Oryctolagus cuniculus: one gene and its partner. Each later gene encodes a partner of the first gene's protein in a complex. Links are inferred from orthologs where the notes say so. Each region holds a gene or a part of one and is shown on either strand. Other genes may lie near its edges.

Evidence for each region.
Region 2: the proteins of NTRK2 (region 1) and NTF4 are in contact, whole or in part, in a crystal structure (PDB 1HCF), measured with the Homo sapiens proteins. The link is inferred for Oryctolagus cuniculus from reciprocal best matches to the Homo sapiens genes NTRK2 and NTF4. Residues at the interface, in NP_001018074.1 of Homo sapiens: Phe291, Glu293, Thr296, Ser297, Asp298, His299, Cys302, Pro304, Thr306, His335, Val336, His343, Gly344, Cys345, Asn350, Thr352, His353, Met379, Gly380, Trp381, Pro382, Gly383; in NP_001382418.1 of Homo sapiens: Gly81, Val82, Ser83, Glu84, Thr85, Ala86, Ser89, Arg90, Arg91, Gly92, Glu93, Leu94, Ala95, Asp98, Ala99, Ser101, Gly102, Trp103, Thr105, Tyr135, Phe137.

What each region holds. Positions count from the first base shown.
Region 1 is NC_091432.1:135,546,481-135,553,142, reverse strand, and holds the start of NTRK2 (BDNF/NT-3 growth factors receptor), read right to left. Parts: upstream 3,994-6,662; 5' UTR 3,588-3,993; intron 2,704-3,587; 5' UTR 2,396-2,703; intron 1,925-2,395; 5' UTR 1,541-1,924; coding exon 1,329-1,540; intron 305-1,328; exon of another isoform or gene 250-304; coding exon of another isoform or gene 227-249; intron 1-226. UniProt on the Homo sapiens protein: Receptor tyrosine kinase involved in the development and the maturation of the central and the peripheral nervous systems through regulation of neuron survival, proliferation, migration, differentiation, and synapse formation and plasticity.
Region 2 is NC_091449.1:8,249,012-8,253,631, reverse strand, and holds the end of NTF4 (neurotrophin-4), read right to left. Parts: intron 3,712-4,620; 5' UTR 3,589-3,711; intron 3,468-3,588; 5' UTR 3,209-3,467; coding exon 2,468-3,208; 3' UTR 1,851-2,467; downstream 1-1,850. UniProt on the Homo sapiens protein: Target-derived survival factor for peripheral sensory sympathetic neurons. May promote ameloblast differentiation and subsequent reduction in proliferation of ameloblasts.

The sequences.
Region 1 (6,662 bases):
TGAGAAAGACACACCGATTCCGACAAAGGCCACAGACACTTTGGCTCAGCCTGCTGAACCCTGACTGGGCCCGGCGCAGGGCCAGCACAGTGGGGGCCCTACCCTTCCTCTCCTGCCTGGCCGCTGAGCACTATGCCAAGAAGACTAAGCTGTCTTGTGGTTTCAGCCCTGGGCCTTTCGTTACCAGCGGAACAGGCAACGGGGACCAGACCGGTCTCTTACTTACAGTACAAAACAGGTTATCTCCATCACCTAGGCTGCAGGAACCATGGTTGTGCCTGTTCTGTGTGTGGGGTGGGTGGGGGTGGGGGTGGGGGAACATGCATGCGCACTCGCCAACCGGAAGGCCACAGCCCGAGCCCTCCTCAAAGGCTGAACACCAGCCTCGGTCAGGAAAACCGGCACAAACTTTGCCTCCCTCTCCCTTCCAGGGGACAGATGAAACCTCGGGGTCACAAAACACTGGCCATGGTAAAGCGCCATCCATTGCTAGGAGAGGTAGGCACAGGACAGCAGGCGACAGGACCGGTGAGCTCCTGTTCGGGAGCCAGGTAGGGAGGGGACAGAAACACACATCTCTGCTGCCCCATGCAGTCAGACTCTTCCAGGGCCCCAGGTGGGAGACAGCACTCATCAAAGACTACACCCTGCTTTCTGGTCCAACCTAGGGGCTTATTCCATGGGCAATTAAGATTCCCGACCCAAATGGTCTCTGGGAAAGAAAAAACAATCAGCTCCAAATTAAACCAGAGTAAGGCTCTCAGGCTCCCAAGGACCGCACTCCACACTCAGGACTTCTCCTCTTACAGATCATTTGCAAGGCCATCTCTGCTCCAGGAGATTCCAAAGGGAAACTGATGAGCTCCAACCCTCAGAGAAAGAGGTGAAGGCAAGAGACTCCCGGAGACGTCAGAAACTTCATAATTTTCACCTCCTTTCTCATGCATATTTCTGGGACCCTGCCTAACACACCGTCCCAGTGGCGCTCCATGAATTAAAGGCGTCCAAAGCAAACTTACAGCAAAGGGGAAAGCCAAAGCACAGCCCAGCACAGCTTTGGAATATAAAATACCTTATGGGATGCCTTCCCACCGGGAATATAAGTGCATAGATAGATAGATAGATAGATTTTTTAAAAAATAAGCTTGACATATATACCTAAAAACTTATCTGAAAGTGTCCCACTTCGCCCGTGCTAGACAGGCTCCCGCTGGGGGAAATAAGACAGGTAACGGGGCAATGGCCCAGCACCACGACCTGGCCCGGACCCACCCTGCCAGTGAGCCCATGGTGGAGGGGGGGCGGTTCGAGGAGAGCAAAGAACTCACATTTCGGTGATGTTCTCCGGGTCTGCACTGTTGGGCTCCAGCCTGGGAAACGCCATGAGGCCGGGCACAGGGTCGCTGCACCAGATCCGAGAGGCACTGCACGTGCAAGACGCGGGACAGGCGACAGCGGGCCTCCACAAGCCCAGCGCCAACCAGCAGAAGCTCCAGAGGCGCGCCATGGTGGGTCCATGCCACCTCGTCCACAGCGACATCCCCAGCCGCCTAGGGGGTTAAGCCCAAGTGTGGGTCCCCGAGCTGCACCGGCGGCAGGCTTCCCCGCTCCGCCGCCCGTGCGGGGAGGCCTTGCCCGCGCTCGCCGCTCTCCGGGATTCCTCGGTGCCAGCTGCGGGCGCGCAGAGTCGAGCGTGTCCGAGGCTCCGCGTGGCCGGGGCTCCGGGAAGTGTTGGCGCGGGCAGCACCGTTCACAGCGGCCGGGGCATCACAGGCCGCTTCCCAGGGGGCGCTACCGCCGCTCCGAGCTCCGCTGCGGCCGCCGCTGCATGGCCCGGGGCGTGCGGGGCACCGGCCGGCGGCGCTCCCGGGGATTGTCTCCGGGCGCAGGCTCCTTGCTAGGCGCGCGCGGGGCCGCTCCGGGGCTGAGGACAAACAGACACGCGCGTAAGCCTGGGCGCTGGGCCCCACGCACGCACGCCCTGGGGGCTGGGGCACTCTCCCTCCGCGCTCGCCGCACCCCAACCCCGACCCCGGCCCCGAGACTGTGGACGGGGTGGGAAGCGCCCTGCTCTGGCCTGGGAATCGGCTTGCCCCGGGGGGGATGGCACGGACGCCGCTGGGGCCGCCAACACGCCCACCCTCTCTTCCCTCAATGCTGAGGCCAAGGGACGAGAGGCGGGGAAAGGGTCCCTGAGACAAGATGCCATGGCACAGGCCGGGTTGGGGGGGAGGAGGATGGTGGGGGACCCTTTCGCGGGGGTGGGGGGGGGACGCGGCCACTGTTGGCAGCGATGGCTCCGCGACGGGGCCCCCCGAATGATGCTGCAGAATCTGTCGCGGCTGCTGCCGGGCGCCGGGGCGGGGGCGCGGGCAGGTGGCGCGGCACGTCCCACCTGGGCAGCAGCTGCGGCCGCCCCGGGGAGGGCGGCGAGGGCCGAGGCGACGGGAGGGCAGTGAGTGTAGGCGCTGCTCACCGGGGCTCCGGCGCCTCACGCCCGCCGGCGGCGCCCGGGTCCAGGGTCCAGGCTCCCCGCTGCCGCCGGGGGACTGAGCGCCGCGAGCGCCGCGAGCCAGGGAGCGAGCGAGGCTCCTGCTCCAACCCAATTCCGGGAGCCGCCGCCGCCGCCGCCGCCTCTGCTACTGCTGGCGAAGTGACGTGAGGGCTGACGCAGAGCAGGGGCAGAAACTCCAGAAAATTAGTCTGAAATCCAAAAACACACACGCTCATACACACACAAGCCCATCACACCCTCCAGACAAAAGCCACGGGGAAGGGAGGGGAATCTGGGGGCGGGCGCGGGGAGGGAGGCACCGGCGCCGCCGGCCAGGAGCCGAGCGCAAGCAGCCGGTGGGAGCCCGCACAGGCGCGCACACACGCGCGCACAGCCTGCCGTGGGGACGCGCGCGTGCGCGGGCCGCGCCGCGCCGCGGTTCGACGCCTCCGGGTCCCCGACCCTCCTACAGAGGCCGTCCGTCTCCCATTTGTAGACGGGGGACAGGGCTGGGTTCCGCTCTGAAAAAATAAAATTAAATTAAAAAAAAATGCGCTGATGCTTATTGTTGGAATCCCCCACTCTCCAACCCTGCTGCGTTCTCCTTTGCCCACCCTACCCAAAAAGGGTCGGCGAGCTCCGCTAGCACGGAATGCACAGCTGTCAACGCCAGGACCTGCTCTGCTCGGGGAGCCAAGGATCAGCGCCCCCCCCCCCCTTCCGGGTCACCTATTTGGGGATGGGTTGTTTGGGGAGGGAGTGGGGGGATGAGGTCTTCTCCTTGGTGCTTTTGAAGGGGGAGGTGGGGTGGTCTCCAAACACAACCGGAGCTCCCTAAGTGGGGGGTCTTTCTCCTGGGGTTTTCTGCCACCACACGCTCGGGAGAGACGTGTGAGAGGTAGGGAACGCGAGTGGCGCGCTGGGCTCCGTAACTGCGCGGCAGCCACGCCGGCCTGTCCGATGCGTTGGCGCCGCGTCATGTTCTCTCATGCTTCCACCTGGCTGGCCGCAGCCATTCCCAGACCGTCGCTTCACTCCCCCACGAGACCCACCCCCACGCGGGGCACCCCGAGCCCGCGCGCCCCTGCCGTACCTTGCGCGTGTGCGGGTGTGCGCGGGGGTGCACGAACGCGTGCCCTGCGCCCGCGCCGCTCGGAGCACGGTATGCATCCAGCTACAGAGAAGCCCGGTGCGGGCAGAGCCTCGGGGGCTCACTAGGGACAAGTGAGGCGATCCGGCGGGGTCGGTGCCCACCCGTAACTGCTCCGCGGGCGCAGTTCAAGGATGGTTGCGGGCCATTCGCAAACCTGGTTTGAGAATCCGTCTTCCCATTTGCGGCTCGGAGACTCCGTTTTTTCCGCAGTCATTTAAAAAAAGGGAACTGGGAAAAAAATGCACCGCAGTGCCTGACACTAGCGAGGGCTCTGGTGCCCCCGCGCGGGGAGAGAGCGCCAGCCCACGGCCGCGGTCGCGGCGGGCGCAGCGCTGGGGGCGCGCTCAGGCGCCCGATGCGCAGCCGGCGGCGCCCGACGCGTGCGCGGCTCGGACCCTCTGCCCGTGAGATGCTCGCCCGACCTCGTCCAGCTGCTGCTGCTGCTGCTGCTGCAGCCGGGGAGAAAGGCGAGCAGGGTCCCCGCGCGCGCGCGCTAGAGAGAGAGCGCGCGAGAGGGCGACCGCAGGTGGTCTCTTCCCAGACGTTTAGAGCGATCACGGATCTGCCGGCACAGGCCTGGGCTGGAAAGGCCCGAGACACTGACAGTGACAGGGAGTGCTCGGATCTTTTGGCACCGCCTTAACACAGAACAAGTCACCTAAAGCTGGGGGCGGGGGGGGGGGTGCGGATCCCGGGCCACTGAGCGTAACCGCGAGAATTCTCGCGCTCGCAGCACCCAGAAGTCTCGCCGCAGCCCCCTCCCCGGCCCCGGCCCCGCAAGACAAGGCGAGCGGGGCTGCCCCAGCGTCGTCTCTGGGCTTGGGCACGCCTGGGTGCCGCCGAAAGGCTGCGCCGAACCTCAGCCCCGCAGCGCGCTCGGCCTCCATCGCCACGGATGGGAGGCCACAGGGCAAAGGTGTCTGTCCTGGCCGGGTCGCGCAATAAGCATTGCGCCTGTGCTGCTGGTGTCTTCCACGCGAGGCGCTCGGGGAAGGGGAGTGTGGGTGGTTGCGGTCCCCACGTCGTTCCCCCAGCCCTGTTTTTCTCGGAAAGGGCCCCCTTTGCGCCCTAGTGGCCGGGGGATGTAGATGCAGCATCTACGAGGATGGACCCCTTCAGCGTGAGCTGTGGACCAGAGATTGTTAATGATGCTGGGCTGTTGGCCGAATTTGTATTAGGATGGGCATAGAATACCTGTTAATGTTTATATCCTAAAGGATCCCGATGAATATCTCGCACTAAAAGTTTGGTGGTCCTGCTTCCAATCACCCTTACCTGCTCTACTCCTTTGTCCACAGTAGGTACTTGGTCTTTTTTGTTTTTTAAGGCCTATGAATATTTTTTTAAAATATTTATTTGATTGTTTAAAAGGCAAATGACAGAGGAGAGACGGAGATATTTTCCATCCACAGGTTCACTCCCCTAGATGGCCAGAAAACACACCATTGGCCCAAACAGAAGCCAAGAGTCCGGGTCTCCCAGGTGGATGGCAGAGACTCAAGCATTTGGGTCATTTTTGGCTGCCTTCCCAGGCACATTAGCAGGAAGCTGGATCAGAAGCTGATGGACTCAAATGGGCAGCCTGATGTGGCTGGCCAGTGTCTTTATTTTTATTTTTTTATTTTTTAAAGATTTTATTTATTTATTTGAAATAAATACAGAAAGAGAAGGAGACACAAACAAAGAGAGAGAGAGAAAGAGAGAGAGAGAGAGAGGTCTTCCATCTACTAGTTCACTCCCCAACTGGCTGCAACTGCCGGAGCTGTACCCATCCGAAGCTGGGAGCCAGGAGCCTTTCCCTGGTCTCCCACGCTGGTGCAGGGGCCCAAGGACTTGGGCCATCCTCTACTGCTTTCCCAGGCCATAGCAGAGAGCTGGATCAGAAGTGGAGCAGGCAGGACTTGAACCGGCGCCCTTGTGGGATGCCGGCACTGCAGGCCAGGGCTTTAACCCGCTGCGCCACAGTGCTGGCCCCTCATAGATGAATCTCAGCTGCAAAGCCTACTGTGTATTCCCCAAAGATCATTGTGGGGATTCTCAGATCATAGCTTTGTGGCAGATGAGCACTTTGCATATGGATATAATTTGCATATGCATAGGAATATAAAATAGAAATCATTTCCCCCAGATCCCTTCAGTGCAGGCATGGACTGCAGGCTGCACCCTGGACTGAACCATGATGCACCTAGTCCAGTGTTTCTGTAACAACCTGACCATCGTCCATGTTACAAGATGCCTTTTACATCACAACCCATACACAAGGGGCTGGCACTGTGGCATAGTGGGTTAGGCCACCACCTGCAGTGCCCGCATCCCATATGGGTGCCAGTTCGAGTCCCGGCTGCTCCACTTCCCATCCAGCTCTCTGCTATGACCTGGGAAAGCAGCAGAAGATGGCCCAAGTCCTTGGGCCCCTGCACCCACGTGGGAGACCCAGAAGAAGCTGCTGGCTCCTGGCTTCAGGTCAGCACAGCTCTGGCCCTTTCGGTCATCTGAGGAGTGAACCAGCAGGTAGAAGATCTTTCTCTCTCTCTCTCTCTCTCTCTCTGCCTCTCCTTCTCTGTGTAACTCTGACTTTCAAATAAATAAATGTTAAATATATATATATATATATAAGTAGCAATCGTTTTTAAGACAGTTATCATAGATCGATGGTATGGCTCAGATAGAGAGAACCCAGTCGGCACACAGCTCCCTGAATTGTGCAGATATAAGCGAGTTAAGAGCACGTACAGAGAGCAGAGTTCACAGGGCAGAGAAGCAGGGAGGCGGGCTTTGCACAGAGAGAAATGTGGAGAGCATCAGAGGGTCCTTCTCAGGCACACAGCAGAGCAGGGATGAGCACAAGCAGGTGGAGAACTCACCTGAGGGCAGGGAAAGCACACTGAAAAGATGAAAGGGGACAGAGCCAAGAGGAAGATTGGAAGTACTCCCTTTTAGAATTTGCGGGACGCCACTAAAGCAGTTGTGGAGGGAGGACCTCATAGCACTGAATATCTATGTTAGGAAAGAAAG
Region 2 (4,620 bases), on another chromosome or scaffold:
CGAGCTCCAGGGGCTGCGGCACGCCGGGCGAGGGGGCGCGCAGCGGCGCGGGGAGCCAGCCCGGGTACTTCGCTTTCGTCTCGCTCTGGATCTCGGCGGTCCCCGCCAGGTGCCAGCCGTGGTGTCTGAGCTGTAGAGAGGCGACCCAGGCACCCGACGTAAGGGCGCGGGGGGCGCACGTGCCCGGCCCTGCCGTCTCCAGCGCCCCAGGACCTCACCTTTTCTCCTAAAGACTTGATCCCCAAGGTGCGCGTGGGGTCCGCGGGCTCCGGGGCCCGGGCCTGCGCCAAGGGCCCACCGTGAGTCTTGCGCACGTGCGCCGAGCCCGAGGTTGTCTCCCATGTGTTAAAGACTTCGTCGAAAGCCCCGATGGGCCAGTCCTGCTTCGCGGCCGGGGGCAGGGGCCCCGCGACTGTGCACTGGGGAGACGGCGCCGTTCGTCGGCTCAAGACTCGGGGCTCCGCTCCGCTCCGCCCTCTTCCCCTCGGTCCGCGGCCCTTCCCCGCGCCACTCCCTGGCTCCCAGGTTCCCCGCTCCTCTCTCAGGGTGGATTACGAGGACGAGCCCCCAGGCCCCTTCTCAGCACCCAGCTTTCCGGATCCCAGGCTCGCCCTCCAGCGGGGGTCGGCTCACCTGCACGCTGGGCGGGGGGAAGGGCAGGGAGGGGATGTGGTGGTGCGCAACGCCGCTGCTGGTGAGATGCCAGCTGGGCCAGGACCCAGGCACCTCAGTTCCGGAGATGGGGGACCATGGGGGGCCGTAGCGCAGCGCCAGGGTCCGCCCAGCCATGACCCACCCCGACCCAGTAGCCAAGCGGGAGCAGGCTTGTTGTTGCTGTTGCCACAGGTGACAGAACCCGCCCACTCGGAGCCTAGCCAATGAAAGGGCCCGCAGGCAAGTGGATGGGCAGAGCGAGACAGAGGTCTGGGGACTAGGGGCAGAGATCCCTAGAGGGGCACAGAACGGGGCTGGCGTGGGGGTGCGAAAAGGGAGATGAGGGGGAGACAGACCCCAGCGAGGGGGCAGCAGAGGGAGGGGGAGAGGCCTGGGAGGGCCAGGAGGCACAGACCGCAAGAGAGGCAGAGACCCTCCCTGAGCCCACCAGGGTCTCTGAGAACCCGGCTCTCCTGTGGGGCACAGCCCCTCCCGGCTGCCTCCTCCCTCTGCCAGGCCGGCCCACTCCCCCGGGGTAACGATTTCCAGACGCCCCAGGACCCTCCCATCTGCCCTGTGCCTGCAGAAGGAGCCAGCGTCGCCGGCCTGCCTTTGATTTGGTTGAAAACTTCCACCTGGATGTGTGTGTGTGTGTGGGGGGGACGAAAAGGGAGAGACCTGCAGAAAGTTGAAATACAAAGGGAAATACCCCACCCAACAGAGAGAGAAGGACCTGGCCAGGGCAGGCAGGCAGCTACCGACCCAGAGATGAGAGACTCAGGAAGTTAGAGGGACAGGGAGCAAGGTGGCAAAAAAAAAGAAAAAAAAAAAAAAAGGCACATGGGACCCACAGGATCTAGAGGAAGGCCATGCAGGAAGAGACAGCCGGGCCTGGGGGCCGGTCTGTGTAGGGGGGAAGCTGCGTGTGTGGCAGACAGGGGTGTTGGAGCCACAGGAAGGGGCACCATTCGGAGGGGGGGGAGTCTGTCCCACAGCTTTGGGGGCAGTCTCCGTCTCTGCGGCCCTCCCGCAGCCTGGCACACACCTCCCCCCCAACCCCTGCCCCGTTCAGCCCGCTGGCTCCTGTTGGATTTTCTCAGCCCTATTCAAAGGCCTCGGTGTCGGCTGAGCCCCGATCCCAACCAGGGCGCAGGCCGACTGGTCGGAACCCCGTGTCCTGCTCCAACCAGACAGTGTCAAGTGTGTATAGTGTTTCTTCCCCAGTGCGGGGTGAAGGTTGGGACAGGGAATGGGGGCAGAAACCTGACTCCAGCCCTCTGCGCAGGGGTGACCTCCCCAGCAGCCTGGCCTTGCCCAGGCCCTGTGATGGGAGGCTCACTACCTCAAAACTGACAACTGCCCCCTCGCACGGAGCACAGTTTCTCGTCTGAATCCCCGCCCCCAGGTACTGAGGTGCCATGCTCTCCAGGTGCTGGCCCTGTGTCCCGGGCTCTCCCCTCCCCCATCCACTTGTCCCTCCTTCCCAGGTGGGCAACCCAGTGTCCTCTGAGACCGCAACTTAGAACCGAGGGTCTCTGCCGGTGGGATCCTCAACAGCTGATGCGAGGGCATTGGCTCGGTGGGCATTGGCTGCTTTCACTGTGAATCCCCTCCGTCCCTCCAGGAGGACCCGAACCCATCCTCGGGACTCCGTGTGGTGTCATCACTCCTCCCACAGCTGTGATTTTGCCGCCATTCCGGCAAGTTCCCAAACGCAGGCCCTTGAGCAAGCCAGACCGCCCCCGAGGTCCCTCCGCACAGATCCAGTTCTCTTCGCTCTCTCCTCCGCCTGGCCGGTTCCTGGGCTCCGGCCTCAGGCCCGGCCACCCCGGCTGAGCAGGGTACAGACACAGGCAGTGTCGATTCGGATCCATCGCCAGCCCACGCGGCCCTGGGCATCAGCGGTCAGCGCCCGCACGTACGACTGTTTGGCCTTGCACTCGGACACCCAGTGCCTCCGGTCCACACCTCGGCAGCCCCCGCCTTCCCCGGCGCCCTCAGCTTTGCAGCGGGTCTCGAAGAAGTACTGGCGCAGGGGACTGCCGCCCGCCGCAGGCACCTCGCCCAGCACCTCCACCTCGCGCCCGCGCAAGTCCACGGCCGTCCGGCGGTCGGTCACCCAGCCACTGACCGCGTCGCACACGGCCAGCTCCCCCCGGCGACTCGCTGGTGCCGTCTCGCTCACCCCACGCCGACTGCGGTTGGCCGGGGCGCTGGCCGGCTCTCCGAAAGCCCCGGCCTCCAGCAGGAAGAGCAGAGGGGGCCCCGAGGGCGTGCCCCTGGACAGGGCTACCCGGGGGGACAGGAGGTCCCACTCAGGGGCCAGAAACGGGGGCAGCGTCGAGGGCGGGGGATGGGGCTCCACTGGGACACTGGGGAGGAGGAAGAGGAGGAGGAGGACAGGGAGGGAGCACGCGAGGTGGGGGAGCATCTCTCGGAGCACCTGAAGACAGAGCGAGGGGGCTGGGGTGAGAGGAGGAAGGAGACACCTTCCGGTCCTGCCGCGGCCCCAGGGAGCCCCTTCCCTCCCTCGGGACGCTGGATCCATCATCATTTTCCAACCGCCATTCCTTAATTCCCAACAAGGCGGGGGAATGCAGGCTCAGAGAAGCCAGACTTGCCCCAGATCCCACAGCACCAGAGAGGGGACTGGAACCCCGTCTGGGTCGCTCTACTCTAGCCTCCGTGCCCCCAAGGACACCCGAGGCCCGCAGCGTGGAGGACAGGCCGCCGTCCGGAGTCCCGGAGAGACCCGAGTTCAGTCCCACACTGCTGCTAACTTCCCTCCTGGGGGCGGGGGCGCCTCAGCCTCCCTGTGGGAGACGGACCGGGCAGGGGCGTGGTACCCCAGTTTCTCCACCACATCCTAGAAGCCTGTGGCTCTGGGAAGGGGTGGCGTGGGGAGGGCTGGGAAGCAGCCGCTGGCGACCAGACCTGTCAGCACGTGCTCCACCTCCGAGCTCCCGGGCCGGGGGCCCCCAGGCTCCAGGGGGCCCCTGTGGAGGACACAGCTGGCCCCTTCCTTCCTGACATCTCAGCAGAGGGAGGGGGCAACCCCTGGGGGAAGAAGCAGACAGGCAGGTGAAGCAGGCAGGTGGGGGGAGTGGGCCTGGGCCCCTGATCACCCTCTTCTCAGGGTACCCAGGAGCCAAGGCCCTGCCCCCTTCCCAGAGGCCCCCTTCCCTGGCCCAGGTGATGGCTCCTGGCTGGGATGGGAAGCAGATGGGCGCAGGGGAGAAGCGGGAAGGGGGGCGGCGGCAGATGGAGGAGGCTGGGAAAGATTACATTCCCCTCGGCCCATCCATCTCCCAGACGGGGCGCAGGCGGGGCTGGCCTGGACGCCCGGGTCCCCCAGGGCCCACACTTGAGAAGCCCTGGGTCCCAGAGACTTCCTGGAATGTTCCCTCCTCACAGGACAGGCCAGGGCGCGCCCAAGACTTCTGCACATACCTGGAGTGGCTGCCTGCCCTGGCCAGGAGGTGGGGAAGCCGCCGGCCGCGTGTGAAGAGAACAGGCCGACCCAACGACCCAACCATGGACAGGGAGTGCAGTCCCCAGCACCTCCTCCTTCCCACCTGAGAGCCCTGGGCCCCCAGCCCCTCCTCCCTCAGACCCAGGAGTCCCAGCCCCTCCTCCCTCAGACCCAGCTGCCGGGGGGTCCCCAGCACCTCCTCCCTCAGACCCAGCAGTCGGGGGTCCCCAGCCCCTCCTCCCTCAGACCCAGCTGCCAGGGTCCCCAGCACCTCCTCCCTCAGACCCAGCAGTCGGGGGTCCCCAGCCCCTCCTCCCTCAGACCCAGCAGTCGGGGGTCCCCAGCCCCTCCTCCCTCAGACCCAGCAGTCGGGGGTCCCCAGCCCCTCCTCCCTCAGACCCAGCAGTCGGGGGTCCCCAGCCCCTCCTCCCTCAAATCCAGTTCTGGAGTTCAAACCCCTCCTCCCCGGTCCCCTCTCCAGGAGATCTGGGCTG